Notamacropus eugenii: one gene and its partner. The protein of the gene in region 1 purifies or fractionates together with the protein of each later gene. This does not show direct contact. Links are inferred from orthologs where the notes say so. Each region holds a gene or a part of one and is shown on either strand. Other genes may lie near its edges.

Region 1 (17,012 bases):
GAGAAAAAAGGAAAGAGAGCAAATGCTGCAAAACCTGAACCTCCTCTTCTCTTTAATACCCTCTGAGAGGGATTAAAGTCTGATCCCCTACTCCCTTCAACTCTTCTCTGCTGAAGTATTGGATTTTTAATGTTTAATTCAACTCATTTGGATTGAAGCATTAAAAGTTTGTGCTCTCTAAATTTCTTGCACTGAGGTCAAACTACAGAGGTACCACATAGTTCAATCAATCAATAATGTTTATTGATTGGTTAAACATTTATTTAGCACTTACTACTCCGGGCACTGTGCTAAGTGCTAAGAACACAAAAAGAATCAAAAGATAGTTCCTATCCTCAAAGAGCTTACATTCTAATGGGGAAAAACATGCAAAAAACATGCAAAGCAAGCTATATTCTGGATAAATAGGAAACAATTAACAGAGGGAAGGCACTGGAACTGAAGGACTGAGGAAGACTTCCTGTAGTGGCTTTTATTAGGATTCCCATTTTACAGATAATGAAACAGAGATTCAGAGAAATTATGACTTGTCTAAGGTATCAGAGCTAGTAAAGGTTAAGGTTCAAACCAAGTCTTTTGACTCCTTGTCCAATTCCCACTATGTCTTCTTTCCCTGGAGGGGTTTGGACGTTGGTTTGCTGTTGATTGAAAACCCTCAAAAGGCTGTTGTCTTATTGTGAGTTCCTTGCCCAAAGAAACAAATAGAAATGGTTCCCACAGTGGTGATCCCTCTCTGCCCTGATTGGAGTTCCTTATTTGGTTCTGCCATAAGTGACTAGACAGTGAATGATTGGTTAAAGGCATTGGAAAGGCTATCAGCTCTTGTGAGGGAGAGAGCTTTCTGAATGCCTTTAGTGGGAAGAGGAAAAGATCAAAGGGACATTTTCTCTAGTTGTCAGGAAAAAAAACCAAACAAACTCAAACAACTTTTTTGTTTGGAAGCCAGGCTCGCTCCTACTGCCTTGTGTTTCCCTATAGGGATGGAAGGACTTTTCCCAGCCCTGGGACCCATGATGATCGAAATTCTCCGTGGTTCTGGTTTACTATGCCAGGTGAAAGCACATCCTTCAAAACCCAACTGTTGCTGAGTATTTTCTCAGACTCTGTTGTGTCTGACTCCATCTCACTCTCTCTTCCTGAGTCACTGAAGTCCATTGGCAGGACAAACATGTATCCTATCAGACAGGTGGGGAAGATGTGTTCAATTCTCTGTGACCTTATTTGGGGTTTTCTTGGACAAACCATTGGTTTGCCATTTCCTTCTCCAGCTCATTTTACAGATGAGATAACTGAGGCAAACATCTTTAGGTGATTCGTCCAGGATTACATAGCTAGTAAGTGACATAGCTAGTAAGTGTCTGAGATTAGTTTTAAACTCTGGAAGAGGAGTCTTCCTGACTCCAATCCTGGCCCTCTACCTCTACAATTCTATTTAGCTTCCGTGGCCTATCCCAGCCCAGAGAAATCTCTTCCTTTTCTGCCTTTTAGACTTAAGACATTTACCATTCAGTGAAGTGCTTCATCACAGACAGTCTGTCTCTAATAATAGCAGCCAATTAGCTCTTTACCTTGTTTGTAGATTTTGCTGATATATAATACTGTCTTTGTTTCTTAATCATTTCAGGTGTGTCTAGCTCCCTGAAACACTGTAAATTCCTCATGGGCAATGACCACACCTCTTACTTTCTTGTATTCCAGGATTTCAAAAACAGGGCTAGACACATAATCTTTGCTCAATAAATATTTATGATTTGAGGTAATAGCCCTCTGAGAAGTTGACTTTTTTTTTTCTATTTTCCATGGAGAACTTTTTAACTATCACAGCCATTTTCTGACATATTGTCCCCCTATTCTACTGACCCCCCCCCCTTAGAATAGAGAAAAAATTAAGCAAATTAAATGGAAAAGTAAGCAGTGGATATGTCATGTTATGACCCATAGTTCCCCATCTGCCTGACAGGATAAATGTTTCATCCTATATTGTCTGGAACCAATATTATTTATTTCAATTAATTAGAGCTGACTTTTACATTACTATTTTACATTATTATACGTGATTTATATTATCATAGTCTTCATGTGTATAGTTTCTTTCAGTCTGCTTTCCTGTTTGTATCACTTCATAGAAGATGTCTAAATTTTATTGTATTTTTATTCTGAATTTGATAAACTCCAAAAAGATGAACATTTCCACTTAGAAGTTATAAAGGAAAAGAGGATTATATGTGAATCTTCAAATATATGTTACATATAGGTTTTTTTAGAAAAATGTATATAATAAATTCAACATATTACTTTTAAAACTGCCGTGCTTTCCATTCTCTTCTGTGCATTTTAAATTTCTTTCCTCCCTCCCTCCCTCCCTCCCTCCCTTCCTTCCTTCCTTCCTTCCTTCCTTCCTTCCTTCCTTCCTTCCTTCCTTCCTTTGTTTCTTCCTTCCTTCTTTTTTTCCTATCACTATCTCCCTTTTGCCCTCCTAAAATTCCCCCATGGAAAAAAAAACACAATCCTCCTGACAAGTAAGCATAGTCAAGCAAAACAAAAACCACATTCTTTTTAAAAATCACATTTATTTCTAAATATATCCCTTTCCCTATCCAATAAGCCTTCCCAAGTAACAAAAATTTTTTTTAAAAAATATTTCTGCCAAACCAATCAATATGACTACATCTGACAGTGTGCAATGTTGTATCTACATCCATAGTCTCACTTTTAGGATTATAGGCTTTAGAGCTGAAAGAGCCTCTGAAAGTCATTAAGCCCAACTTCCTCAATTTTCAGATGATGAAATCGAGACCTAAGGAGGTTAAGCAACTTGTTTAAGTTTACATAGTAGGAGAAATGGCCTTTGAACCCACAACCTTTGACTCTGGTGATTTCATTTTTTAAAATTCAATTTTATTTTATTTTCGATTCCAAATTCTCTTCTCAATTCATTGAGACGAAAAGAAACAAAACTTATTACAAATATGTATAGTTATGCAAACAAATTTTCTCATTAGCTGTTAAAAAAGGCAAAAAAAAAAGGAAAAAGAAAAAAAATTGACTTCAAAATGCACTCTGAGTCCATCAGTTCTCTATCTGGAGGCCGTGAGCATGCTCCATCATGAGTCCTTTGGAATTATAATACAAATAAAGACATTTTCAATGCTCAGAAATGTATGTCTCTTTTCTGAATCTTGAGTCCATCAGCCTCCATCAGGAGGTGGCTGGTGTGCTTCATTATCCATGTTCTGGTTTCATGGTTGGTTACTACATATGCAATGTTACACATTGATAAAAGTCCTTAAGTCTTTTAAAGTTGTTTTTCTTTAGAAAGTTGTTTTTACACTATAAATTGTTCCCTTGGTTCTATTCACTTTACTCTGCTTCAGTTTGTATTATTTTCCCCAGATTTCTCTTAAATAGCCCATTTTATCTTTTCTTAAAAGTACAATAATATTCTTCTGTTCCATCTATATACCATAATTTGTTCAGCCATTTCCTAATTGATGGGCATCTCCTTCTCCCCTCCCCCAGTTCTTTGCTGAAAAAAGAGCTGCTATAAATATTTTTGGACATTTGAGTTCTTTTCCTCTCTTTTTGATCTCTTTGGGATTTAGACTTCACAACTAGTTTAGTGACATTTTGGGTGTAGTTCAAAATGGTTCTTTAGAAAGATGACCAATTCACAGCTCCAATAACAATGTACTCATTTTCCTATATTCCCTCCAACAACTGTCATTTTTTCTTTTTTGTCATCTTTGCCAATCTGATTAATATTGGTCTTCAGGTTTTCATTTCTTTTTCTTGAATTATTAGTGATTTGGGTCATTTTTCATATAGTTGTTAATAGTTGGGATTTCTTCTTTTCACTTCCTTGACCATTTCTCTATTACAGAATGGCTCTAATTCTTATAAATTTGGAATAGTTCTTTATATAGCTTGAATACCAGATCTTTACTGAAGGAATTTGCTGTAAAGATTCCACCCCCACCCCCACCCCTGCCATTACATTTCCTTTCTAATTTTAATGACATTGTTTTGATTGTATAAAAACTTTTCGGGGGTAGAGCCAAGATGGCGGAGTAGAAAGACGCTCCAAACCCACAACCCATAGAACATCTACAAAAAAGTAACTCATGGCGAATTCTGCACCCAGAGGCCGCAGAACATTGGAGCAAGGGAGATTTCTGTTCCAGAGAGACCTGCAAACCTCTCTCAAAAGGTCCTTCACGCCACGGACTGGGCGCCAGGACTGGAAGCTGAGTACAGCCCTGCCGCAGCCACGGCACTGAGAGGAAAAGATCCGAGCGGGCTTCAGGGACGGAATCTCCAGTGGCCACATGGGTCCCTCCACCCAGAGGTGACAGGGGTCGGTGAGAGGGTCTCTTTGGCGGGTCGAGAGGGGAGTGGGGTGCCCCCATAACTCAGGCCCCCTCGGGAGGCAACAGCGGAGGCGGGAGCAGACAAGGGCTCCCCAAGCAGGCAGGAGCCTGGATCCATTGTTGAAGGTCTCTGCATAAACCCCCTGAGGGAACTGAGGCTGAGAGGCGGCCCTGCCCCCACCTGAGCACCTGAACTTAATCACACACTGAATAGCAGCCCTGCCCCCGCCCCCACCCAAAGCCCTGAGGCTGGAGAGCAGCATTTGAATCTCAAACCCCAAGCACTGGCTGGGAGGATCAGGAGGCGAAGTGGGTGTGAAGAGAATATTCAGAAGTCAAATCACTGGCTGGGAAAATGCCCAGAAAAGGGAAAAGAAATAAGACTATAGAAGGTTACTTTCTTGGGGAACAGGCATTTCCTCCCTTCCTTTCTGATGAGGAAGAACAATGCTTACCATCAGGCAAAGACACAGAAGTCAAGGCCTCTATATCCCAGCCCACTCAATGGGCTCAGGCCATAGAAGGGCTCATAGAAAATCAAGTTAGAGAGGTGGAAGAAAAGCTGGGAAGAGAAATGAGAGACATGCAGTCAAAGCATGAACAGCAGATCAGCTCCCTGCTAAAGGAGACCCAAAAAAATGCTGAAGAAAATAACACCTTGAAAAATAGGCTAACTCAATTGGCAAAAGAGGTTCAAGAAGCCAATGAGGAGAAGAATGCTTTCAAAAGCAGAATTAGCCAGATGGAAAAGGAGATTCAAAGGTTCACTGAAGAAAATAGTTCTTTCAAAATTAGAATGGAACAGATGGAGGCTAATGACTTTATGAGAAACCAAGAAATCACAAAACAAAACCAAAAGAATGAAAAAATGGAAGATAACGTGAAATATCTCATTGGAAAAACAACTGACCTAGAGAATAGATCTAGGAGAGACAATTTAAAAATTATGGGCCTACCTGAAAGCTAGGATCAAAAAAAGAGCCTAGACATCATCTTTCATGAAATTATCAAGGAAAACTGCCCTGAGATTCTAGAACCAGAGGGCAAAAATCAGTATTCAAGGAATCCACAGATCACCGCCTGAAAGAGATCCAAAAAGAGAAACTCCTAGGAACATTGTGGCCAAATTCCAGAGTTCCCAGGTCAAGGAGAAAATATTGCAAGCAGCTAGAAAGAAACAATTCAAGTATTGTGGAAATACAATCAGGATAACACAAGATCTAGCAGCTTCCACATTAAGGGATCAAAGGGCGTGGAATAGGATATTCCAGAAGTCAAAGGAACTAGGACTAAAACCAAGAATCACCTACCCAGCAAAACTGAATATAATACTTCAGGGGAAAAATTGGTCTTTCAATGAAATAGAGGACTTTCAAGCATTCTTGATGAAAAGACCAGAGCTGAAAAGAAAATTTGACTTTCAAACACAAGAATGAAGAGAAGCATGAAAAAGTAAATAGCAAAGAGAAGTCATAAGGGACTTTACAAAAGTTGAACTGTTTACATTCCTACATGGAAAGACAATATTTGTAACTCTTGAAACTATTCAGCATCTGGGTACAGGGTGGGATAACACACACACACATGCACACGCACACACACAGACACATAGAGACAGAGTGCACAGAGTGAACTGAAGAGGAGGGGATCATATCTTAAAAAAATGAAATCAAGCAGTGAGAGAGAAATATATTGGGAGGAGAAAGGGAGAAATGGAATGGGGCAAATTATCTCTCATAAAAGAGGCAAGCAAAAGACTTATTAGTGGAGGGATAAAGAGGGGAGGTGAGAGAAAAACATGGTTTACTCTCATCACATTCCACTAAAGGAAGGAATAAAATGCACAGTCATTTTGGTATGAAAACCTATCTTACAATACAGGAAAGTGGAGGATAAGGGGATAAGCAGGGTGGGGGGGATGATGGAAGGGAGGGCACGGGGAGGAGGGAGCAATTTGAGGTCAACACTCATGGGGAAGGTCAGGATCAAAAGAGAGAACAGAAATAATGGGGGACAGGATAGGACGGAGGGAAATATAATAAGTTCTTACACAACACTATTATTATGGAAGTCATTTGCAAAACTACACAGATCTGGCCTATATTGAATTGCTTGCCTTCCAAACGAAAGGGGTGGGGAGGGAGGGAGGGCAGATTGGCAGACAGGGGCAATTAGAACGCTCGGTGTTTTGGGGTGGGGGGAGGGGACAAAAGGGGAGAAAATGTGGAACCCAAAATTTTGTGAAAATGAATGTTAAAAGTTAAATAAATTAATTAAAAAAAAACAAAAAAACTTTTCAATTTGAGTAATTTTCAATTTAAGTGATCAAAATTACTCTTTTATTTTCAACAGCAATGGACATTTCCATCTAGTCAAAAACCCTTTATCCTCTCTGTTGATATAGACATTTTCTTTCTTAGTCTTTTAATTTCTTCATGATATGACCTTTTACATCTATGTCTGCTTCTCAGTTTTCCCAGCAGTTTTTGTTGAGTTGCTATTTTTCTGTCTGTATTATTCCTGTATATTGTATATCTAATCTGTTCCACTGGTTGAAATTTTTTAGTTTTAATGCGTTACTAAATAGTTTTAATAATGACTGCTTTGTAGTATGGTTTGAGATCTGATTATCACAAGCCTCTCTTCAGTTACTTTTCATTATTTCCTTTGAGAATATTGACATTTTGTTCCTACAGATGAATTTTGTTATTTTTTTCTAGTTTGTAATGTAATCCTTTGGTAATTGATTTGTATGACATTGAATAAACAAATCAATGAAGTAAGGTCACTTTTATTATAGTGGCATGGCGTAACCATGAGTAATCAGTATCTTTTCACTCATATCTGTAGTTCTGTAGAGTATTTTGTAGCTTTAATCATATAATTTCTCTATGTGTCTTGGTAGGTGTGCTCCTAAATAGTTTATATATTCTGTAGTTATTTTAAATTGAATTTCTCTTTCTATACCTTCCTGCTTGGATTTGTTAATAATAAAAATGCTAATGATTTATGTAGCTTTATTTTATATCCTGAAACTTTGCTGAAGTTATCATTTCAATTAATTTTTAGCGACTCAGAAGAAGTCTTTAAGTAAACCATCATATCATTTGCAAAAGCATTTTGTTTCTTCACTGTCTATGCTTATTTCCTCAATTTCATCTATTCAATTTAAATTACCAATTCTCTTGGCATATAAGCAGGTGAAATTACTTCTAAAAGCTAGCATTTTCTAGCACTGTATCAAAGAGTAGTTGTAGACATCCTTGTTTTATCTCTAAAACTTTTAAAAAAGCTCTAGTTTATTTTCACTGGATATAATGCTGACTCTTGATTTTAGTTTAGGTACTATTTACTTGTGTGTATGTGTGTGTTTTTGTGTGTATTTTAGGAGAGACAAAGTTTAATTAGTATCAGCTGATGGGAAGTTGCCAGGTGGCTGGCAATTAGGCAGAACAAAGAGAGATACACACAGACATATAAGATTTTACACAGTCCGAAAACAGGCAGAGGAATGAGCCTATCAGGTGAGGCTGTTCAGCCACTTTCCTTGTTTGGGAAATTGAGAAATAGGGACAGAATGTCAGATGATTTAGGGAGGGAATGTCTTAACCTTGGGCTTGTAACTTGTTAACCTTGGTGTTACCAAAAATCAGGTCTGTTCTGTTAGTGAAATTACCTTGTGGTTACTCTCATCAGACCATTTTGGTGCAGCAGGAGGTCTCTAGTTAATTTCATCAGAACGTCTAGGAGGGACCAGAGGTCTAAGACTGTGTCGTCCTCCCTTAGTGTTGGTTTCTTTTTTTTTTTTTAAAGAAATGGGTTTATTGGAAGTTTTTTCTGCTTTTATTAATTTTGTGATCCTTAGTGTTTTTTGGTTCATTACGTTGACAGTTTTGTTAACGTTGAGGGTTTTCTTAATACTGTAATTCTTAATATTGCATTCTTGGTATAAAGCCTATTTGTTTATAGCATACAATATTTTGATGATGTGCTGCTATAGTCTCTTCATTAATACTTCATTAAAATTTTTGAATCAATTAGGGATATTGGTCAATAGTGTACTTTGTTTTGTCTTTCCTTGGCTTCAGTATCAAAACCAGAATTATGCCATAGAAAGAATTTGGTAACATCCTCTTTTTCCTATTGCAAGTATGTCCTAAATTTACATTATATAATATTATAGTTCATTATTCTTTGAATATTTGATAGAATTCATTTGGAAATCCATCTGGTCCTAGATTTTTTTCCTTTGGGAGTTTATAGCTTGTTTAATTTTTTTCTCTGAGCTTGGATTATTTTAATTCTACATTTCTTATTTTGTTTATTTGGATATCATATGTATATATATTTTTTTCTTTTATATATGTTTAACACATTTATCTATTCAATTTAAATCGCCAATTTTTTTGGCGTATAAGTAGGCAAAGTGATTGCTAAATTTTACTTTTTTCCCTTCATTTGTTGTGAATTCTCCTTCTTACATTTTTAAACTAGCAATTTGGTTTTTCTCTCTTTAAAAAGCTAAGCTAGTTAATTGTTTATTTTATTTTTTAAAAAACAACTACATTAACTCTGTGTGTGTGTGTGTGTGTGTGTGTGTGTGTGTGTATGTCTGTGCGTGACTGCGTGTTATCTTTCAATTTAGAAAACTCTTTGATTTTTGGAATTTTTATTTTGGTGGATAATTGAGATTTTAGAATTTGTGGGTTTTTTCCAGTTGTATGCTCACTTTATTGAACTGTTTTTTCTCCCTTTATTGATAAAAGTGTTTAATGGAGATATAATTTTTCCTCTCAAGACTCCTTTAATTGCATTATTCCAGTTTTTGTCATTTGTCATTTGTCATTTTGTCATTTGGCATTGTCATTTTCTTGGATGAAATTTTCTGTTGTTTCTATGATTTGTTCTTTGACCTACCATTTCATTAGTATTAAGTTATTTAGTTTCCAATTAATTTTTAATCCTTTCTTCAAAAGTCCTTGAAAATTTTATTCCATTTGTACTTGGTAAAATATGTGTTTAATATTTGTCTGTCTTTGTACTTGTTTGTGAGGTTTTATACCCTAGAACATGATCAGTTTTTGTAAAGGTGTCATTCACAGCTAAGACTATGTGTACTTCTTTTTGTTCCCTTCAGTAATTGCCAGAGATCTTAATCTCCAACTTTTCTAAAATTCTCTTCAGATCCTACCTTCTTTCTTGTTTATTTTTTTTGTTTAGATTTGTCCAGGTCTTAGAGAAATATGCTGAGATTCCCCACTTTTTCAGTTTTATTGTCTATAACTTCTTGTGCATTGACTAATTTTTCCTCTAAGTATTTACTTGCTATATCATTTGGTACATTTATATTAAGTATTCATATTAATTTACATCTATGGGGCCTTAAGTCTCATGTAATTTCCCTATTTATCTCTCTTAACCAAGTCTATTTTTCCTGTTGTCTGAAATCATGATCACTACTCCTGCTTTTCTGAAGTCACCTGAACATAATAGAGTTTCCTATAGTCCCTTATTTTAAAACTTTCTGCTTCAGGTATGTTTCTTATAAAACATATGTAGTGAATTTTTCTTTCCAGTACATTGTGCAGCTCTCCTCTATATTGTAAGTTCATCCTATTCACATTCACACTTATAATTCTTAATTATGTATTTAGCTATATCTCATCCTGTTATACCTTTCCCTCCCTTTCATCCAAACTGTGACTCCTTGGTACTACTTGATACAAAATAACTTTGAAGTTATTTTCAAAGGATGGCTGATAGAGTCTTTTTTATGTTCATTTTCTCCTTTGGTTCTAGTAGGTCTCAGTAGTTTTCATTCATGAGTTCTTTAAATATGGTATCTAGACTTTTTAGGGACTAAGTTTTTAGGGAGTCTGATGAATATTAAATTAATTCTCTTCGACCTGTTTTCATGGTCAGTTTTTGTTAGGAGATGTCTTAAATTTTCTTCTTTTTTTTCAGTTTGAAAATTTTGTTCCAGTCTAATCTAATCTAATTTTCAGAGTCTGTTACTTGAGGAATGTTTAGTACCTCCTGTAGTAATATGTTTATTCTCCTTACAGCTCTTTCTTCTGGAGTGGAGTTCTTAACTTACATGATTACATAATCTTGTTTTAAAATTTTTCAATTACATAATCTTATTTTATTTCAGTATAACTGGTTTCCTATTTAATGCCATGCATTTTTCTTTTATGCATTTAAAAACAATATTCTGAGTCCATAGGTTTTTCCAAACTGACAAAAGGCTCCATGACATAAATAAGGTTAAGAACTTATACTCTAGAGCTTATTTTTCTTTTCTGTTCTTTTCTCTAGAACTCTCATTTCATTTATAATGGGAAGGGAAGAAAGGGAATAATAATTCATGTAGCTCCTATGTGCCAGGTACTGTACTAAGTGCTTTATAAATATTATCTCATTTGACAATTATAATATCATTCTTTAACTCTTCCTCATTTTTTTCCCAGGAATTCCAGTAACTCTTGTGGTAAATCTGTCATTTTTCTTGTCTTTTTCTTATACATGATGTATAGTTTATTTTCTCTTCTGGGTTTGTGCCTTGGGTATCCCTAGCTCTATAATATTTATCATCAGAGTTTTCTTCTGTTTACTCCTTTTTCCCAAGTTTACTTCCTGTAATATGAATTTGTATCAGGATTTTTTGAGCTTCTAAATAGAATGGATGGTATCTTCTTTGTTACTCCTCTATATTATGGAGGTTTCAGTAATAGGCCCTGTGTTTTTCAAATACCTCAGGATCAACCTCCAAGGCAGTCTGTGTGGGTGTTAGAGCAGTTAGAGCCTCCTAGGCTCTGGCCAGAGTTACAGCAACACAGCTGCAGGGTCCAGGAATCCCTGACTACACTCAAGTTTGAGGTCCTCTCTTCTGTCCTTGAGAACAGTTATAGGCTTTGAGCTTCCCTGTTGTTGTTCAGTTGTTTTCACTTGTGTCTGACTCCTCATAACACTATGTGGGATGTTCTTGGCAAAGATTACTGGAATGTTTTGCTGGACTGTGTCCTTGGATATTACTTTTCACCTTGCTGAGACACAGTTTCCAAATCTATAAAGAAACAGAGTTTGACACTATGATCTCTAAGGTCCTTCCAACTTTGGCATTTTATGATTCCCATTCTGCAGTTCCCTGATGAGACATAGGTTAGGTTGGATGGCTTTAGATGCCCCTTTCAACTCAGAATCTGTGATTCCTGAGGGAGGAACCCATGACTGATTAACTCAAGTAGATCATGGAGGAGTATATTTATGGCACTAAATGAAATGATTCATTAAAGGTGCATGTTCAGAGAGGGTGGGGTCAAGAATAATAAGTTTTTGTGGAATAGTGGATTGGACACTACATGATCAGATTTATAACTTTTTTCCATAGACACTGAAAAATAATAAAAAACATGCTCTCCAGATATCTGTAGATATTACTCAGTTTCTATCTTATGGATAAAGCTGATTGCATTTACTAGTATTGCCAGCAAACTCCTATGACTATAATTGCTAGTCAAGGTTCCCCTTCAGATCATTTGCAATCAATTAAGTTTATTGCTCCAATAGGTAGCTTTGTATCAGAGAAGTTATTCTGTCTGCTCTGGATCTTGAAAGTGAACTGTGCCCCAAATTCAGGAATTAAGAGATGCTGGCTTCTGCATACGTGGAGCTGCACTGCCTATGGAGGAAGATGTCAGGTAGAAACCTGTGCTCCAGGCCAGTCTCTTTTCCTCTGTGATTTTCTTCTGTACATGCCTCTTTTATTCAGATGAAAGTCATTTCTGTTTCCAAGGGGCAAGACATTAAATGGATAAATGAAAATGAAAATGGATAAATGACAGCTTGGTTTAGTAGATAGGCTAGATTTGGCATCAGGAAGATAGAAGTTCAAGTTATTTCATGGCGGCATACTGCCTTTGTGACCAGAGGCTACTCATTTAACCTCTAACACTATAAATTACAGAGGATGCTGCCTGTGTCCCGGGAGGGAGGAAATTTCCGTACCAGGAATTCTTCACAGGTAAGAAGAACAAAAAGGAAAAGAAAAGAGGAAGAAAACAGGTATTCCATGACCTTTATCTACCAGGGAGACTACGTGCTTTGGACAATTGACACAGCTGAGTGGTTGCCTGGCACATAATAGGATATATCAATAAATGTTTATTGTCTGAGCTTGAGCTAAAAAACACAGAAATTCCACTACTCATAGGGATGCTATATAATAATAGTATCATGTATAATGATAGTTTAATGTAGAAAATAAAAGTATATAAATATGAAATATTTAAATATATCTATAATATAAACCTATTAGATATATTTATATAACAAGTATACATGTAATATACAACAGAAATATATTTATATGATATAACTATATAAATAGCGCAATATAAATATGAAATATTTATATAAAATGTAATAATGGATAAATATAAAAGTAGTATTATGGTACTATCTTCTAATGCCAATGATAGTGATGACTATGTTCACATGATATTTTATAGCTGATGACATCTTTTCCCATAGCCTTTTAAACTGATTCTCATGATTAATAGATAATGTAACTATTATTCTTTCTGGTTTGTAGACGAGAACGTTGTAGTTGATTGTGTTGGGCTATAAGTGATTTCCCAGGACACCAGGACATAACCCAATGGACGTCATCATCATTCATTAGTATAGAACTTTATGCTTCTCAAATGCTGTAATAGTTATAAGATTGCCCATAAAGCAACCCTGTAATGTAGCTCATTAATATTGTCCTCCTTGGTCCCAGAAAGGTAAATTAGAACAATCAAGGAAGAAGTGTTAGAACTGGAAGTGGAGCCCAGGTTTTTGTACTCCTAGTGGATCAGTGTTCCCTTCCTCCAAATATGTCTGCTTTCACAGACGCACATGAAATTCCTTTCATTGAAGGAATTCAGAGATCTTTGCAAATATTCATCACTCCCAACAGCACCCTTTTGCCATGGGAGGGTTTAAATATTATTAAAACTTCCAAGTGGCATTTGCAAGAAGAGTTAGATGTTTCTGATTTTTACTAACTTGACTTAAATTTCTTCTGCTAAATTTGTTAATTTTTTTTGGGAGGGGGGCAGAGAGAAACTGTCTGAACTTTATTTTTAGTGGGTCCAGGAATTAAGGAGGAAGTTTCCTTTGAAAGCCTTTCTGATTAAATTTGTCGCCTCAGCAATTTGCATGGTCCATCAGGCAGTCAATCAACAACATTTATGTTCTTACTATCAGCAGGTCATATAATATGGGAAAAGCAGAAGTAATTTTCTCTCTTGCTGATCCAATGTTCATTAAGATGTTTGAAACAGTAGAGGCTTTGTTAACAGCAGGTTTCATCTGATACAGGAGCTTCCTAGAAAGATTAATGTTCTCTTAAATGGGAGAAAAAAATCCCTTCCAGGGATGAAACCAGAAAAACCATGGAGAATTATTTTTTTTCCTTTAGCTTCTGCCAATCTGTCTGAAGACGAGAATTTCTAGTTCTTACCTGAACCTAGTGCATGCTGGGTAACCTGGGGGCACATAGGGCAGTATTATAGTTGCTTCCTGAACTCTTTTTGAAGTAATCAAGTTAGACATCCAACAGACTATAAATGAGGAGTTAAATTCAGCTATTCAATTGGAGTAGGTGCTGAGCAGCTGCGTTAGATTCTAAGGGGTCTAATCAAAGAGGGAGAAGGGTAGTCCTCACCTGAAAGGAATTAACTAATCTAGTTGGGGAGATAAGGTAACCTTATTAAACAAATGACAGAGCAAAGACAGTTTGTGATTAAATGTCAAAATGAGTGGTGAGGATCATCGTTGAAGGGTTTCAGAAGAAGGAGAGGTCATTGTCAACTGGAGTGGCCTTCAGAACTACATGGAGGAGGCAGGATTTGAGCTGTGCTGAGAAGGATGCTGAGGGGTCTGGATGAGTGGAAAGGATCATTGGAGGACAGTAAGGAGACTGGTCAAGCTGAAATTATGTTCAGATTGGGAAGAAGATTATAGAATTAGACCTGGAAGGCTATCTGATCCAAACTCCTTATTTTAAAAATTTGGTAGGTGAGGCATGGAAAGGTGAATGTGACTGAAGTCCTATGGGATACCAGTAGCAAAATGTCAAGTTCAGGTCATCTTTCCTGCAGAAAGATGCTTCCAGCCAGTGAGGAGAGGCAGATGAGTTTGGATAGCTAGGGTAAGCTCAGATTGTTTGAGTACCTTTTTAATGAATCCTTTTTTAATTGTGGCTTCACAGTTAGTGGTAGATTGTGCTTTGCCTCTTCTTGTCCTGTCATCTGGTATAATTATGCCTGGAGTAATCTAAATTATGTAAATCTATATCCATATCTAAACGTATAGCTGGATAGATGGGTGAATGTTAGAATAACCCTTTTAAGATCAATGAATTTACAATGATTCTTTATAGGTCATCTAGTCCAATGCCTCTATCTCATAGAAGAGAAAGCTGAGACAGATATACTTGCCCAGAGTCAAATACGTGGTACAGCTGGGATAGAAAAGAGCCTTGGATAAAGTTTTTGTGAAGTGAATATTCCATGATCTCATTGATTTGAGAGTAAAGTGAATAGCTATGAGCAAATACTCAGTTCAGTTATTTTTCAGTTGTGTTTGACTCTGTGACCCCATTTGTGGGTTTCTTGGCAAGATACTGGAGTGATTTGCCATTTCCTTCTCATTTTACTGATGAAGAAACTGATGCCAACAGGGTTAAATGACTTGCCCAAAGTCACACAGCTAATAAGTGTCTGAGGCCGGATTTGAACTCGTAGAGATGAGTCTTTCTTATTCCAAGTCCAGCGCTCGTTCTACTATGCCACCTAGCGACCTGGTACTGGAAAATATACCCGTTTGGTAATACCTCCTTTTCATAGATAGGCCTTTGCTTCAAGTAGGCTACACCCTGAGTAGTGCCATAGAAAAGTCACAGTCCGCCATAGAAAAGCTTCTGGCAATGGAGAGTGCTCTGCCACTTTCAGTCAGAATGCCAAGAGGGCTTCTTGGATGATGTTCTGTGGTGGACTTGACTTGGACTTGGACTTGGTAGTCTAGGTTTGCTATTGGAACAAAGAAGATGTTGTAGACCACTGTCAGTTGACAAAAGGAGATGGACTTAGGGATACCTGGAGAACACCCAGGAGGACACCCTGAACTGATTCTAATGAGCAAAGCTCCCTTGACTGCGTGGTCCAGCATTTTCAACCAGCCAAGCATTAGAGAGGGAGATTTAAACTCCTTATGTTTAAGTCTGGTACTCAGGCTTGTACTCAGGTTGTTTTGTACCCAGGCAGTGACAGAGTGATCTCAACACTGAACCAAGTCTTAAGAACCTCAGTATCTTTAAAGGAGCCTGACTTGAATGGAGGCAGAAATTAGTATATTGCTCATATCACATAGACCCTGCCCTGGCCATGCAACCCTTGAGGTTTTCCCCTTTCCTGGCTGGGTGTTGTATATACCACTACTCTATTAGCCTCCATCTTGTATCGGCTCCCCATCCTTCATTGGCTACAGAACCCTTGCACTATAGCTCTGAGCTGGGCAAGTGGGGCCCAATGGGACTTTACTGGAGAGAAATGATTAGATGTACAAAGATTCTGTGCTCCTCTGCCTCTCAGCTGTACCCCTTCCCTCACGGCAGGGATCAAGTGCATCTCTTCCAAAACAAAACAAATGGTATTGTCTGGGAAACTGGACCTTACTGGTGCCTCTCTGGTTCTTGGTCTCATCAGAGAAGTAATAGAGACAAATAGAAGGATGCAGGCTCTGGGACAAGGTCATCTTGGGGAACCTTCTATGAAAAAGAAACACTGGGGTAGAATGAGATCTTTCTTCGAAGCTATGGTGAGATTCCATTTCAAAGGCTCATTCCTTAGCCTCTTTGCCAGAAAATCAATTGTTAAATTATTCATTGGCTCAGATGGGCTCATTCTGAAAGTAGTCTTCATTGCCAGCAATGTTTTATCAGAGTCGACATTATTCCAGTTATCAGAACAGATTAAGTTTATAATTTAATACTTAATCTGCCCTCCAAACACTGTGATGAAGTAGATGTGGCTGCTACCCTTGGGTATCCAGGGAATTGAAGATCTTCTTGGTTCTTATTCCCTCTTTAACTTATCAAGTGAATAAAACATGAAAGTAATAAAATAGACTCATAAAAATGATGCTCATTTTGGTTTACAGTTCTAATCCCTTAATTATCTCTGGCTCAGCTGCTGCCCCAAATTTGCCTTTCCTATTTCATTTTAAACCACACCATATAGTCTTAGAGTTTTATATCTGGAAAGCACGTTAGAAATCTTTTAGTCCAACCCTCTCATTTTACAGATGAGGAAACTGAGACTTAGTGGAGTGAAATAAGTATCTTGCCTGAGCTAATAGTAGAACTGGAAACCAGATATCCTACCTCTTTCTCTCACCCACCAAAAGCCCACTCACTGCACTTGAAACATTATCTTCAGCCCTATCCTGCCATAAAACATTTATTTTCCATTTAAATCATACCTGTAGAAGAAATCTGACCCACTCTAGGAAAGCTTTTAGACTATCCTCTTTGTGATAAGAATTACAGATTTATCCCTGAATTATCCTGACCATGGCGACTAGCGGTGTCTTTCCTAG
Region 2 (16,879 bases), on another chromosome or scaffold:
ACTGTAAAATAAGCTAGAGAAGGAAATGGCAAGCTACTTCAATATCTTTATCAAGAAAACCCCAAAAAGGGTCACAAAGAGTTGGGCACAACTGAAGTGTGTAAAAACCAGCATAATAATAGCACCTATCTAGCAGAGTTGTGAGGATCAGATGATAAAATATTTATAAAAATGCTGAACAGAGTGCTGGACACTAGTAGGTACTATGTAAAAAAAGGTTTTACCTTTTGGCTGTCCCCATGCCTAGAACAACAACAGCTATAATTTGTATAGCATTTTAAGGTTTTCAAGATATTTTACACGTATTACTGAGAGGGGCAGCTAGGTGGTGCAGTGGGTAGAGCACCAGTGCAGGAGTCAGGAGGACCTGAGTTCAAATCTCACCTCAGATACTTGACATTCACTAACTGTGTGACCTCGGGCAAGTCACTTACCCTCAATTGCCTCATCCTGGGTCATCTCCAGTCACCCTGATGAATATCTGGTCACTGAATTCAGATGGCTCTGAAGGAGAAGTGAGGCTGGTGACCTGCATAGCCCTCCCTCACTCAAAATAAAGTCAAGTACAAGTCATGTCATTATTTCTCTGATGGCATGGTCTTCTTTGGCAATGAAGGACGAGCACACACATACTACCTAATTTAAGAGAAGGAATACCTCTCCTCAGTTCAGCCTTTTAGAGTCTCTAGTTTCCTTCAAACCTCAGCTCAAATGCCATTTCCTATATGATTGTTGTCTTCCTTGCAGTTTTCTTTCACGGGAACACTCAGGAGAATCTCGCTTAGCCAGGTCTCCTGCCAAGTTCTGCAGACTTGTTTTTCTTTAACCAATTTTTTTTTAATGTTACCTGAGGCAACACTTCTTGTGATCTTCCCTTAGTCTCCTCCACAATGTTTGGCAAATTAGCTTATTTCTGAACCAGTGCTGCCCTCTCAGTCAGATCCCTCTCCATATGGCAAGAAGATGAAGTGTTTACTGGTTGAAGTGGTTTCTGAGATTTTTCAGTTTCTCAATTGTATCAACTTTTCTATTGGTTACATTTTTCTAAGAAAAATGGTTCATGTCATTACTTTTGCTTATTCCCCATTTTCTTAGTTTGACACCTTTTTTTCCAGTAAATATGTAAATATACCTTTCCTCCCTAATTTGTTTTTGTTTTTAACCTTTGCTCCAATTGCTACTCTGATCTGTATTAGCAACTGTTTCCGAAATAATTTTCACATCATCAGCCATTCTTTTTCCTGTCTGTTGATGCAGTCAGTCATTTATCAATAGTCAAACATTAATTGATCAATCAACAAGTATAGCCTACTCTACTAATTACAGTATTGGAAAAGCATCCTGACACTCGTAACTCTGGAAAGTAAATTCATTATTATGGGCAACTATGAGCTTGATGCACAGCTGCCACTTCTCCAAAATTTATATTCCTATCATATGGCAGCTAGGTGGCAATATGGATAGAACATCAGGTCTGCAGTCAGGAATAACAGAGTTCAAATCTGGCCTTCAACACTTTCTAGCTCTTTGACCCTGGGAAAGTCACTTTACCCTGTTTGCCCCAGTTTCCTCACCTGTAAAATGAGCTGGAGAAGGAAATGGCAAACCACTCCAGTATCTTTGCCGAGAAAACCCCAAATAGGGTCATGAACAGTCAGACATGACTGAAACAACTAAATGTCATCTTTATCTGTCTATCTATCTATCTATCTATCTATCTATCTATCTGTCTGTCTGTCTGTCTGTCTGTCTGTCTGTCTGTCTGTCTGTCTATCTATCTGTCTATCTATCTATCTATCTATCTATCTATCTATCTATCTATCTATCTATCTATCTATCTATCTGATTAATCTTATCACCTAAAAATTACTCCTTTCCCAAGAGGAAGTAGTAGAGAGGAGCTGAGGTAACTCTTAACTCACCTCCTTATTAAAATGTCTACCAAGTGAGATTGTCTTATCTTTGCCAGTGGCAGTCCATATGATGTACTGTCAAGTCAACCAGAAGGGAGACACACCTAAATTTAAAGGACCCTATTGACTCTTACTCAGGGTCTTTGGTCATTGAGAAAGGCTATTGACATAATGTATTGGTTAATGCTAACCTAATTTATAAATTGATCATACTTAGATACTTGTTTTTTTTGGTTGAGATGGGCCAGTGTGAGCTATATTACTAAGAGTTTACCTGTCACTGTTAAAAAATTGTTATCTTGCCCTGGAGAAAACTGTATCTCAGCTTGCCTATGCTACAATTTTACTCACCACAGGGAGGAGAAAGAGGTGGGCAGAGGGGAAAGAGAAAGGGCAGGAAGGGAAAAGGGGGAAGAGAGAGAGAGGAAGAGAGGGGAAGGGGAGGAGACAGGGAAGGGGGGGGGGAGAACAGGAGGGGAGAGAGAACTTGTCTCTGACAGTCCTCTCAAAGCTTCTGAATTTTTTCATCTTTATGTATCCTTATGATGAAACCTAATGAGTATTGCTTCAAAGGACTTTTTTGCAATCACAGTAAGGATTTGAACCTGTGTGGTCTTTCCACCTGAAGTAACTAATTTTCATGATTCAGTCATTTTTCTAACTTCAGAGATCAGGAGTCATCTAGATTCTTCTAATACTAGCATTGTCATTTTTTTAGTAGAAGAACTATAAGCCTTTTATCCCACAAATCTAAGAATCAATCAGATATTATATTACTCAGTCATCTTCCAGCCTGTTCTTGTCATATCACATTATTTTGTTGGGGACTGTTGTTGAGGGGGGCATGCAGGATGAAAAACTTTAATACAATGTCATAAGACAGTCTACAAGAGATTTTATACAAACTAATTTGGGTGGGGGGTGTACGGGGGGAAATGGAGAGCTAAGTGGTACAGTAGCTAGAGCTCTGAACCTAGAATTAAGAAGACCTGACCTTCAAATGTGTCCAAATGTGACCTCAGACACTAAGCAAGTATGACCCCAGGAAAGTCACTTAACCCTGTTGGCCTCAGTTTCTTTATCTGTAAAATAAGCTGGAGAAGGAAATGGCAAACCACTCCAGCATCTTTTCAAAGAAATCCCCAAGTGGGGTCCCAAAGAGTTGGATATGACTGAAGAAGAACAACTGAGCAACAAATTCTTTTTTTGGTGAGAGGTGGGAATGCAACTTATATTTGTCTAACATTGTTCACACACATGTTTATGTAATGGATTTTTGGTCGTGTGGTTTCCAGTGAATATCAGGTCATTGGATTCAGATGGCTCTGGAGGAGAAGTGAGGCTGGTGACCTGCATAGCCCTCCCTCACTCAAAACAAAGTCAAGTGCAAGTCATGTCATCATTTCTCTGATGGCATGGTCTTCTTTGGCAAGAAAGGATGAATACAATAAAAAACATTAGGTAGCGATGGTGGTTCAGTGGTTAGAACATTGGACCTGGAGTCTGGAAGATCTGAGGTCAAATCCAGCTTTCTATACTACTGTGAGATAAGTCACTTAACCTCTGTTGGCTTCAGTTTTCTCAAGTGTAGAGTGGAATAATAATGATAGTACCTACCTCTGAGAGTTGTTGTGAGGATAATATTTTTAAAGTACTTAGCACAGTGCCTGGCACAAAGTGGGTGCTTATTAAAAGCTTGTTTGTTTCCTTCCCAGTGCCAAATTTTTATAGTAATGGATTTAAGCCCTTAAACAACATGATGAAATGATTACTGAAGGAAGTCCATTTTCCATTTTTAATTCTGCACATATAGGAAAAATAACTTTATGCTGTTGTTATCTGTAGGCATCTGGTAAAAACAAAGATCTTTTTTTGTCCTTATGTGCAAAAAATATTTGTAGCAGCTCTTTTTGTGATGGAGACTAAGGAGATGCCCATCAATTGGGAAAGACTGAACAGATTGTGGCACATTGTAATCTCCTGTAAGGAACGAGGAAAGAGATGATTTTAAAAAGTCATGGAAAGTCTTGTATTAACTGATACAGAGTGAAGTGAGCAAAACAGGAAGAAAAAATTACACTATAACATCAATATTATAAAAATGAACTATTTTATTGACTGATGAAAAATAAAATAAGCAGAACTAAGAGAACAATTTATAGCATAACAGCAACATCATAAAAACAAACAAATGAGGTGTAATCAATGCAATGACCATTCAGGATTCCACAAGACCAGTGATGAAACAGGCTATCTGTGACAAAGGTCATGGATTTAGGGGGAGGAATGAAACAAATACATTTTCACATACAGCCATTGAGGGAATTAGTTTTATTTGACTATTAGCTTTGCATGTTTGTTAAGAAAAATTTGTTTTTCCTTTTCTTTCTTTCCAATGGGGCGGAAGATGAAAAAGAGAAAACAGAATTCTGTTCATTTTAAAAATATGAAGGGCAGAGAGATGCTATGTGAAATGTTGCCTTCACTTTCAGATAAGATCACTTAATTTTTAATCTTACTTAACTGTTTTATTTTGTTTCAAGAGACCTCATAAAATGGGAATAATCTGTAAATAGTTGTAATGTGAAAACAAAACACATTAGGAAACTCTTTTAACGGAGCAAAAGAAGGCTGAAAAAGAGCTTCATACTTTGTCAATCCTGAATTATTCGGCTTATGGAATTTCAGCTTTATTTACCGAAATAGTTGCACAGGCATGTAGAGAGATTCCCTTGACAATGTTAATTCCTTTTAAACAAGGTTAACTTGATTACTCCTTTGTTTGGCATTGATGATATTTCCTTGATGACCTGTTAACTCACCTTATCCTGAGTACTCACTCACTAGTTCTTTAAAGCACATATTCTTTGAAAAGATTGAGCCATAAGTGTATGAAGGTTGGCTTGAGCTAGCCTTGGACTTGGTCTTTTAAAAGATGGCTGGCCACCAAACATAGCTGGAGAATTGGACTATGGCTGAACTAGATAGACATACTTCAATTTCTTGGATTAAAGCCCAGTTTCATGAGTTTTCAGAGGACCACATACCTCATCAAACCACAAGACTCCAGAAGAAGGTGGAGCTCCATGGCAGTGAGTAGAGACAATAGTGGAGCAGAAGGAGACACCAGTCCATGAAGGAGGCTGCAGGAATGTGAGCTGGTAGCAGTGAAATTGTAGTGATGATGTGTGTGATAGAGAATTTCCTAGACAGGCAGAAGAACTCCTGAACTAAATTTTTTGAACCCAGAGGAAGAATTCCTAAACAATGCTAAGCTTCTGGAGAAGTTTCAGAATCAAGCTGAAGCCCTAAGTAGAAGCCAGCAAGAGAGTTTTCAAGAGCTAGCAAACAGAACCACATAAAACAGTCAAATAGCCCATTAGCTCCTCTCATAAGGTAGCTGAACTTGGGATTATTATCAGAGCAAAGCTTTGACACATCAGTGAGTCCCTTTCCTACAGATACTTTACCCCCAAAACTTGTTGCACTACTCTATGTTTTAATCTTGACCTCAGAAGATAAACATACCTTGGAGGTTGCTGAATAAACAATACCTCTCTCATTGAACCTACACCAGCTTTGCTCTCCATGAAAGACACTGCATAGGAACTATCCTCTTTTCCCTAGAACAGTGTTAGATAAAGAAATCTTCTCTCTCTTTTAGAAGCTTCCAAACTTGATATTCTCAAATCTGGGAATCCACATATTTTAATTGCACATATTTTCTTCTGGCATGAGTTTCCATGGGAAATCTCTCAATGCCTTGAGGTATTGCTTCCCAGAATATCTTCCTTCTCTGGCTAGAAGTCTTGATTCTGGGATCATTGCTTGGGGCATTTGCATTCTCTTATCTCCTTTTCCTTTACACAAGAAATTGGGTTTAAGAAAGTATCCTTGAACTACCCTCTCAAGCTTCATGAAAGGACACTGACCTGATCAGACTATTATAAAGGTCTTCTAACTGGTTTCCCTGCCTCAAGTCTTTGTCCATGCCAAACCATCCTCCACACCACTGCCAAAATTATTTCTTTAAAGTGAAAGCCTGACCATATCACCTCCTACTCAATAAACATCAGTGTCTCCCCATTACTTCCAGTATTAAATATAAAATCCTTTGTCATTTAAAGCTCTTCACAACCTGTCTCCTTCTTATCTTTCTGGCCATCTCACACTTTATTCCCCTTCACATATACCATGATCCAACTGTACTCTTACTCACTATTCCTCACAAGACTTTCCATTTCTGGACTCCAAGGCTTCTCACTTGCTATACTCCATGCCTGAAACACCATCATCTCACCATCTCTTAGAATCCTTGGCTTCATTTCAAGACTTCGCTCAAACACCATCTTCTGAAGAAGGCCTTTCCATGTCTCCCAGCTACTAATGTCTTTCTCTGTCAGGTTATATTCCATCTACTGTACTTTTGCAGTGAAGGAAACTGAGGCCCATGGAGATTAAATGACTTTCCCAAAGTCATAAGTGTGGGAAGCATCAGAGATGGGTGGGAAGATCACTGCAGTTATACTGCCTGCAGCTATTCCCAACCCTGCTGTCAGCATACCCTGAAAGATGCCATCTTTGAAGGTCCCTGGACTGTGGAAATGGGAGTGAAGCCCAGAGAGCACCCAATCATGTCATGTAGGTCAGTTTTCAATACCATTCACACCCATGAAATAAACTGCTTCATCCATGAATAAGAAGATAAAATGGCTGATATAAAGGGAATTATATTATACTGGAAATAGCACAGGACTTTGAGTCAGTTCCACCTGTCACATATTAGCTGTTTGACCTGGGGTGAGTCAATATACATCCCTGATACTGGGTTTCCTTATCTATCAAGAGAGGGATAATAACTCAGTTGTTGTGAGGCTTAAACCAGACAGTATATAAATAAAGTCCTTTGTACCTGCAAAACACCATAGACCCATTGGCGGCTATTGGGGAATTCTTGGAAAACAGACAATATGAAGAATAATATATTTAGAAAAGGGTATTCAGTTAAACATTAATACATATTTTCTTAAGATATATTTTCCTGGGTGCTGTTTACACAAAAATGAAATCAGACACAATCCCATTCTCAAGGAATTTATAATCTAGTAATAAAGATAAGACATGTACATAAATACGTACTTTATAGATAAGACTTTAAAAAGTCAACCTAATTTCCATACAAAGTGCTATCAAAAATTTAAGAAGTGTCAGGTCACTTCCAGATTAGAAGAGATGACTTCATGAGGAAGATGATACCAGAGTTGAACCTCAAAAGAAAGGAAAGAATTTAAAAAGATGGTGATTAGCAGGGAGGGCATTCATAGAATCAGAGATTTAGAGCTGGAAAGGACCTTAAAAAGCAACAGATCCAACCACTTCATCTTATAAATGTGGAACCTGAGGCTAAGAGAGTCACCCAGTTAAGCAAATGCCTGAAGGAAGATTTGAATTCAGATCTTCCTGACTCCAAATCCAGTTTTTATCTATTCTGCCACTTTCAAAGGGATAACAAGAGGAAAGACAAGGGAGGGGACAGGGAAGGACAGGATGAGAATGGGGGTGTATCATTAGTTTGTTTTGCTCTAATATAATATACATAAAGGAGAGTAGCTGAAAAGGTAACTTGGAGCCAGAATGAGACTGACCTAGAATGTTAGACTGTAGAGCTGGTATTTTATTTATAGACAATGGGGAGTCAATGAAAGTTTTTGAGGAGAGGAGGTGATGTGATCTGAGAGTTTTGTACTAAAAATATGCAGCAAATGTGCTAGATGGATTGGAGATGGGAGAAACTAGTAGACAGAAGGTCCATTGGAAGCTTATTGAAATAATAGAAGATAGTATTGGTTTGAACTAGGCCAGTTACAGTGGTTGGGGGAAGAGGTAGAAATGACAGTATGTTTTGGTAGTGGAATGAAGAAAAGTTGACATCTGTTTGGATAGATTAGGTGTATGCCTGCGCTAGAGGAGGTTATAGATAAAGGGGTGGGAAGAATATTTTTTGATATTTGAATTGGTCAAAATTATTCTTGTTTGTAGTTAGCCTCTGGCTTCCAAGATTTTACCAAAGAACTAATGAAGACTTTTAGATTCTTTTCATAGAAGCTTAGAATGTTAGAGCTGAAAGAGAACTTAGAGGTCACAGTGCAATTCCTTCATTTTTCTAAATGAGGAAACTGAGGCTCAGAGAGGTGAAATGATTTGCTCAAGTTTATAAGACATTTTGGAGATATAATTCAGTAATGAATTATGAATACTGTCTATGTGTTATAGCTTCTGAAAGTTTCTCAGATCTGATATATTCTTAGAATGCAGGTTAAATAGAGGGAGAGGACAAAAGAAGAGGAAGAGGAGTAAAAGGAAGAGAGGGGGGAGAGGAAAGGAAGAAGAGAGAGAGAAAGAGAGAGAGAGAGAGAGAGAGAGAGAGAGAGAGAGAGAGAGAGAGAGAGAGAGAGAGAGAGAGAGAGAATGTCTTCCTGCCAGATATCTCATCTAAAATTAATTCTCTGAGACTAGTTTTAAACATCACCACGACCTCTGGTTCAGTTTGTCTGGAAAAAAAGATATCTCTTCCCACATTTCAGTTGAGTATGACTCATTTTTTTTTTTAAGGGCTCAAGGTCTGGCAGGAACTTAATCCTCTTACCTCAGCACACCATTTCCTCCTTTCCACCAGTCGGTTAAGTCTGGTTTTCTTGGGCTTGGTCTTTCCTGGAAAAATAAAGCCTGTGTTATGGTATAATTTCCACCTTCTCAGCTCCCTTAATTATCTCAAATGCTTTAAATCTGTTGCCTAAATATTTTTTACAAATGCTAATTTGTTCACCAGTATTCTACAAATTAAGCCAAGTAAGATATTTCAGGAATAGCAAAATGAATAAAAGCTTAATAAATTAGCCCTTATTCAGCATTGTCATTATTAAATCTGGTTTTGTTACTATTGCTTATTTCATTTCCATTCCCCAGTATATACATATGCTAGCCACCTGATTTATATATACATATGAACATATGTATATATATATACATATACATACACACACACACACACACATATATATCCATAATGGAAAAAATCGGAGTAGTGATGTGGCATTAAAACAATTTATCTTTGAAAAGTTGTTTGTTTGTTTTTAAATTACCACGATTTAGCTATGAACATAATATGGAGACATACATATGGAGCCATATGTATGACTTTTGTACAGGAGGCAAATTTCCAGCAGAGTCTTCAAAGTAGAGGAGGTATATGGATTGTCATAAAGGTGGGAAATCAAAAACCACGCCAGAGGAAAGAAGGTTAAGCTTTGAATATGGCTTATTGTACCCAAAGCATTCAAATAATAATTGGTTTAAGTCTAAACCTTTTCACCTCATTAAGACTATCAGAATAACTCAAATCTTTCTCAAACTTCTTGCTCGTGGCACTAATTCTTTGCTGGGAGGATTTGTAGCTTGCTAAGAATGATTGGAGAGACTCTTGTAAATGCATGTGGTTACAAGGATGAGTACCATACAGCTTTTGAGAAACACCAGGATGAATTATATTGCGTTTGAATTTCCATGAGTATGCTTGAATTTTATTGCTTGCATTTCACAGAAAGAACACAAAATTTATTCAATACTGTGACCAACGGATGGAAGCTGTGGTTTAGTAAATGAGAAACTCCCAAGTAGTTAGAGCAGTCTCAAAAAGGAATGTGTTACTCAGAAAGGAGCGAGTTTTCTAAGCCAAATTTTCAAACAAGTTAGGGCACCACTTCTTTAAACTATTCTTGAGGGGATTTATTTATATTTTGACTAGAGGACTAACGCCTATGACCTTTACCCTTGTCTATGATTTTCATGTACTGACACTTATGAGGAAGAAAAATAAGTGTAAATTAACTAATGGTTATCTTTTAGATAGAAGTATGAGAGTTAGGAAATTGCTAATTGTTCTTCCATTCTCCAGGCAGTTTCAGGTACCTGGTTGTGTGTGTGTGGGGGAGGGGGGGGTCTGGGGGGGGTGGGTGTGGGTGTAGGTGTACATACGTGGGTTAATTGTAAAATAATGAGATAAATTCTATGTATCACATAAAAATCAGTCTTGTTCCTTGCATTTCATTTTTTTCTCTGAAATTTTCCACTGAAGAACAACTATGTAACTATTTTACATATGCATTTACCGTGCAGTCTATAGTTAACGCTACATTTTAGATCCGTGTTAGCTCTGGACAGCACTTTCTCAGGAAAGATGTGCCATGCACCAGAACCTAGGCTTGTATCCTCATACTCTGAATTTTCTAAATTCAGACATTTATATCCTGAGCATTGGGATCAACGTCACACACACACGCCCCTTATCTCCTAGGACTCAACCTTCCTTGAAGCCTTTCCTTCTCTACACACTCGGATAGCTGCAGTCCAAGTCCTTAAAGCCATCTCCTGAGGGGGAACCCAAAGGTACAGCCTCCAGTTGCTGATTTGTCTCTGCAGCCCATGACACCCTACAGCTTCCATGCAGTTTGGCAGTGCCCTGCCTGTAGAAAGAGTCCACTCCCAGAAGGGAAGGGCTGGGTTTCGAATTTCATTTCCCTTGTAAACCATTCCCAGATTCCAATCCACTTGCAGGGCTCCTCTGCTGCTTTCCAGTCTCAGACCTCTCAGAGAGAGCCCCCAGCCCACAGAGCTGAAGGAGGGCACAGTGAATTTCAGGAAGTCCAACATGAGACCAGCATCTCTCCTTCTCCTCTGCAGCCTCTTTGTTTTCTCCTGGCTCATACAGGGCAGAATTATCCGGGAGGATGAAGCCGGTTTTGCTGAATGTAACAAGTTCTTTTATGAAGAGACCCCGCCTAAAGGATTGGCTGAGCCTTTCCACGTGAAAATCTGTCAAAAATACAACGGCAAGGAGCGCTTTGCTACCCTGTACAGCACCCAAGAAAAGATACCTGTTTACTCGGCTTTTCGATATGCTGTCTCTGGAGAGAGTAGGGAGCAGGGTTGGATGATCGAACCCCAGGTGAGTCAAACAGCTTTGTAGATATTCTGCAGTGGGACCCAAACAAGAGAAGACCGGCAATTCCTTCTGCTTCAGAATAAGGAGGGAGGGGGCCTAAATAACATGAGGGGTGATGGGCACTGCCCGGTGAAACGCTGTGCCAGAAATTGCCTTCCTCCTACCTGAATTCAAATTCTCCCCCTTCACCCCTAAGCCTTTTTACTCTGCTTAAGAAAATTGGAATTTCAGCTCATAAACTTTATAACATTTCATCCAAGTCCCTGCAACATTCAGAAATGCAGAGAGGAACCATTTGGTTCCCTGAGAGATTCTTCTTGATCTCACTTTTAATTTTTTCTGATAACTGTATTTCAAAATAATTGACTTCCTTTGTAATCCTACATATTTAATTATGCTTATTTTTTAATTTTAAAACTTTTCTCTGAAGAGTCCATAAGCTTCACCAAACTGCCAAAAGGGTCCATGACACACATATAAAAAGGTTAAGATCCACTGCTCTACACAGAAATTTATCTATATGGATGATGATGCACATACAACATTATAAGGTACTCGACTAGTATAGGTCCCATGTGATACTACCTTACATGCATACTTTGCTTTACAGTTTACAAGCTGTTTTCCTGTGAAATAGGTCATACGAGTGTTATTATGTTTTCCCTGTTTTACAAGGACACTGAGGCTCAAAAAGGTTAATGAACTTGTCCCAGATCATGCATCTCATAGAGCCAGGTTTTGAACTCAGGTTCAGTGCTTTCTCTGCTCCACTATGGAAAAGGGATAAAAGTATGATTGTATTTGTAATTGGAAAAAATAAAATACTATTTACAAAAAAAAGAAGAGGAAGATCATTTGGTCACAAGGCTTAAAAACAAAAACATGCACAATGATTTCAACTTAGAGACGTTATGAGGTATTAATTTCTTCACAATGAAGAAATTTTGGAATTTGGAGGAGTGTTTCCTGTTATTCATTGTATTTTTATCTCCCATTCTACATTTGGGAAAATATCAGGAATTGTCAAATTGAGAAAAAAATTTAAGAAACTTTTGGATTTTTAAAAAAAGGAATAACAAAGGCCTAGGGAATGTCTCTACCTATTGGCTTGGTAAGAAGGACAAAATAATTGTCCCCAATTCTTCATTTCTTCAGTATCAACCCCAAGGATTCAGAAATCAAGCCTTCATCTGTCAAGTCACCCCCTGCAGTGGGCTATGTCAGCCAACCAGAGGAATTGAAATGGCCCTCCACACTTAGCCTTCTGTCCCATACCTTCTCCCCAACCTGGTATACTACTTCTAAGGCATTGTGGTATTGACATGTACATGCATACACACATACATACAAACACTGTCTCTCCCTCTTGCAGAAGCCAATAACTCCTCACCTAGAGACAGGGTTTCCCATCACTCTCCACTTGCCCAACCTTCTTACCCTTGTCCACCTTGATGCCAAATCCTTCCCAAGCCTTCTGATGTAATAAACACACCCTAGCCCAACCTGTTCCTGATCTCCATAGCCTGTACCCCCTCCAGCCCCACCCAGATGAATACCAAGACAAGCATCTGGGTTTTCCATTCTTAGAATGAGTTTATTTGGAAGCCTTGAAATATAGCTGCTATCTTGTAATATCTTTTAAGTGCTCATTGTATAAATACATCACCATAGAAGCCACCTCTCCTCCACCATCCCATACTAGGAAGATATAAAGGAATAAGAATACACAGGAAACACGATGTGTTCATAAACACAGAGAGGAAAAAAGTGATCAGAGTGGAATGGGCCTTCAGAAACTTTCTAGAGGAGGTGAGTTTTGAGTAAGAATGGAGTGCAAGAGGCATTGGCTGACAAAGGAAGGAGGTGGTCCCAGGTGAAGGGAAGAACATCTGCCAAGGGATAAGATCAGGAACAAGCAAATTACATACAGGACATAGTAAGCTGATCAGTCTAGTCAGAATAGGAAGTCTGTAGTGGGGAATAATGAAAAGAAAGGTTGATGAGATAGTTGAGAGAGGGAAAAAGTTGATAAAGGAACTCCAAGGGCAGGCTGAGAATTTCCAAAAGGCTAAATAAGGAAGTACATGGTAGTGGCGGGTATTGGAAAGTACAAGGTCTAAGAATTGGGAGACCTGGTTTAACGTCCTGGTTCCGTGCTTGTGTCCTTGCCTCTGTGCCAAGCTATGTAACCTTGGACAAATTGCTTAGTATCTCTGAGACTGCATTTCATAGAATCAAAGAAATTTCAAATTTGGAAAGAAACTTAGAGGTCATGCAGAACAACATTTACCTAAAACATGAATCTCTTCTGTAACATCTGGCAAGTTGCATGCATCCATGTAACGTAACATGCATCCAGCTTCTGCTGGAGCATCTCTATTGAGAAGGAACTTGCTGCTGCTTGGGATAGGCCATTCTGTTTTTGGACAGCTCCAGTTGTTAGGTGGTTAGCTGATATACTGAGCCAAAATCTTTCTCCCCTCAATTTCTGTTACTGATCCTAGTTCTGCCTTTGGAGATCAAGCACGTAAGTCTAATTCCCCTTCACTTAATAGTCGGGATTTATTTACATGTCGTCTCCCCCTTTAGCCTGGAAGGTTCTTGAAAGCAGGGACTGTCTTTTATCTTTTTTTGTATCTTCAACTTGTAGCTCAGCACATAGTAGATGCCCAATAAATGTTTAGTGAAGCTGACTGAACAAGTTTTTTAAAGCAGCTACTACGTTCCAGGCACTGTGCTAGAGATGAAGAGTCCTTCAGATAGTTGAAGTTGCCTTTACTTTAAAGGACTAGATAATTTCTTAGCTCTTGATTCCTTCTGTGCTTTCTAGAAATTAGAAGTTAACTTTTTGTGATATACTTGTTGGAGTACTGTAGAGCATGATGAGAATTTGGCTACTTGAGCAGAGATACCCAAGCCCTGCCTCAGTCAGCATTGTGTCTGATCCAAGTATCTAATTAGGTCAGAACACTTTATGTCTTATATGGTGCCTCATACCTGCACTGGCTAAGGGCATTGCATCTGCCTGCAAGCCATATATGCTGTACCAAGAACCATTTCTGTGGACAACTTAACTAAGAGCCAGACTTCTGAATGCAGCCATTCTTTCATTCATTCATCAGTCAAGAAGCATTTGTTAAAGGGTTTAATATGTGTCAGGCACTGTGATAGGAATCGGGGATATAAAAGTCAAAAAATCCAAGACATGATCTGCCCTCTAGGAGTTTATATTCTACTGGAGGGAGGGAGGGGGGATGCTACATATACTCGTAGAAGTAAATACACAGTACGTGTAAGGTAAATAAAACATAATTTGTGGGGAGAGGGGAGGTGAAGAACATTAACTATGGAAGGGATCCCATCCTTACACACAATGTCTTTTATCTCTTTGCCTTTGCAATTGATGTCCTCCCATGACTAGAATCCTATCGACCTTCACCTTTGCTGTTTAATTTCCCTGGCTTCCTTCAAATCTCAGATCAAATCCTACTTTCTCCAGGAAACCTTTCCCACTTGCCTTCCTCTCTGAGATGATTGCCTTCTATATCTTTTCTAGGTTCCTAGCTTTTTGCAATGTTGCTTTTCCCTTGGATGCTTCTTGATGGCAGAAATAGTTTTTGCTTTTTTTTTTTTATTTTGTATCCTCAATGCTTAACATAGTTCCTGGAACATAGTAAACATTTAATAACTTTTTAAAAAAATAATTGATTGCTTAGTTGATGGTAGATGGCAGCTTTGAAGGAAGCTAGGAATTCTGCTGTAGGAGGCAGAGCTGAGGAGGGACAACAATCAGGGGACAGCACTGGCAAAAGCACATCAGGAAACAGAATGCAGCGTATAAAAAACATCAGAAGGGCCAGTTTGGTTAGAAGGTGTGTAAGAGGGAGGACTGTGTCATAATCTGTCTGGCAAGGTCAGCTGGAGCCAAATTATGAAAAGCTTTAAATGTGCCACAGAGTTGGCATTTTATCTTAGCCACAATAGGAAGCCACTTATGAGTTCTGAGGAACAACTGTAGTATGGTATGGGAAGAACACTGAGTTTTAAATCAGAAGACCTTGGTTTGAACCTGAGTTTTACCACTGGACAGTGGTCTGACTTTTACAATTCACTTAAACTGCTCTATGCCTCAGTCTACTTACCTGGAAAAAGGGATGACACAAACCTCTTGCCTCACAAGAGTGTTGAGCAAATCAAATGATGTAATATCCATAAAGGACTTTTTTAACCATAAAGTAGGATACAAAGATCAGCTAGCTATGATGAAGGAGGACAAAAGCAATATGATTTTCAACAGAGTTGAAGAACACATAACAGCTCCCTATGTCTTATGCCCACTAAGGTCAATTTGTCAATTAGTATTTATTAAGTACCCACTATGTGCCAGGCCCTTTGCTAAGCACTGAGGGTGCAAAGAAGGGGGACAATATAAAAACAATCATGTACAAACAAGATATATGCTGGATAAACTAGATGTAATCACAGAGGGAAGCCTCTGGCATTAAGGGGGATTGGGAAAGACTTCTTAGAGATGGTGATATTTTAGGTAGGACTTTAATATCAAGCTCCATTACAGAGAGATACTTAGCTCTGAGGTTCACATTTTGTTTGGCATAAAATAATTCATGACTGTGAATCACTTCAACCTAGGACACACTTTTATGAGGTCAGCATTATTATTAGGCCCTCATCATCCAGGGGAGGAACAAAGACAAAAGGGAAGCTTCGCCCTTGCCTAAGGTTATTGAGTGAGTCAGTGACAGAGCTGTGGATCTCAGGTTCCCAGAGAGAGAACCCTGGGAATACATCTTTGAATGAGCTAGATCTTTTCAATTACATTGACTGAACCAAAGGAAAATCTGGGAGGGGGGAAGGGGGAAAGGGAGAGGGTGCACCTTCTGGAGGCATAGGAAAATAGAAAACTTGCTATGAGGAAAGTAGTGTTATTTGATGGAGCAAATACAAACCTTGGCTTAACTGAAGACTTGATTCCTCTTGACACAACCTGTGGCCTTGGGAAGGTCACTTAACCCTTTAAAGTCTCAGTTCCTTCCTCTAAAAATTCAGAAGGTTTGACTAGATGATCTTTGAGGTATCTTCCAGTTGTAGACCTTTGACTCTATAACTTTCACCATGGAAACTGAGAAAATATATATATGTATGTATGTATGTATATATGTATGCACATATATATGTGTATATGAATACATATATACATATATATACCAAAAACCCTGTAAAATATGCGACTTAGGAGCATGCTGGAGAAGACAAGTGTATGCAGATAGTCTTCCATGATGGATCTGAAACACAAGGAACTAGCATCTAGTATTCTGACATCACTTTCCCATTGCTAGGATTCAATTTTTTTTCTAGTCTCTGGACTACTGGAAGTAGGACAGAAGACGCCCACAACTTCCCCCACTTCTACTTGTAATAGCCACTGGGGGTTGGAGAAGAAGACAGGTGATGGTTATAAGCTGTTTAAAAATATAAAGATAATGTTGCTTTTGTTGAGACTCCAGTGAACAGTATTACTACTAAACTATAATTTACCCCTATTTTGTTGAGAAAATCCAATGAGATAATGTCTGTAAAGGGCTTCCTAAACCATAAAGTAGCATATGAAGATCAGCTAGCTGTTAAGAAGGAAGACAAAAGGAAGCTTTTCAGCAGGGTTGAAGAGCATGTCACCAAAAATGACTTCCTCATTGACCAGCCAGCCATTACAAAGATGCTCTGATAGCATCTTAGGCATGTCGTTGAACTGCCATCAGTGTGTAGTTTCCTCATTTGCAAAATGAGGGATTCAGACTGATCCCATGATCTCTTAGAATACCCGGCACAGAGCCTTGAACAGAAGAGGTACATGGTAGATAGTTAGGGAATGAAGGCATGAGTTAGTTGATGGAAAATGTGAGCTCTATTTGCCCTATCTCTCTCTACTGAACAATCAAGAAGCCAA

Evidence for each region.
Region 2: the proteins of SLC34A2 (region 1) and ENDOD1 purify together in Homo sapiens (co-immunoprecipitation; 3 studies listed by BioGRID and IntAct, counting the BioPlex papers as one, with this or other methods). This does not show direct contact. The link is inferred for Notamacropus eugenii from reciprocal best matches to the Homo sapiens genes SLC34A2 and ENDOD1.

What each region holds. Positions count from the first base shown.
Region 1 is NC_092877.1:78,362,144-78,379,155, forward strand, and holds the start of SLC34A2 (sodium-dependent phosphate transport protein 2B), read left to right. Parts: upstream 1-7,803; 5' UTR 7,804-7,891; intron 7,892-12,333; 5' UTR 12,334-12,390; intron 12,391-17,012. UniProt on the Homo sapiens protein: Involved in actively transporting phosphate into cells via Na(+) cotransport.
Region 2 is NC_092876.1:163,262,225-163,279,103, reverse strand, and holds the start of ENDOD1 (endonuclease domain-containing 1 protein), read left to right. Parts: upstream 1-10,395; 5' UTR 10,396-10,620; coding exon 10,621-10,917; intron 10,918-16,879. UniProt on the Homo sapiens protein: May act as a DNase and a RNase. Plays a role in the modulation of innate immune signaling through the cGAS-STING pathway by interacting with RNF26.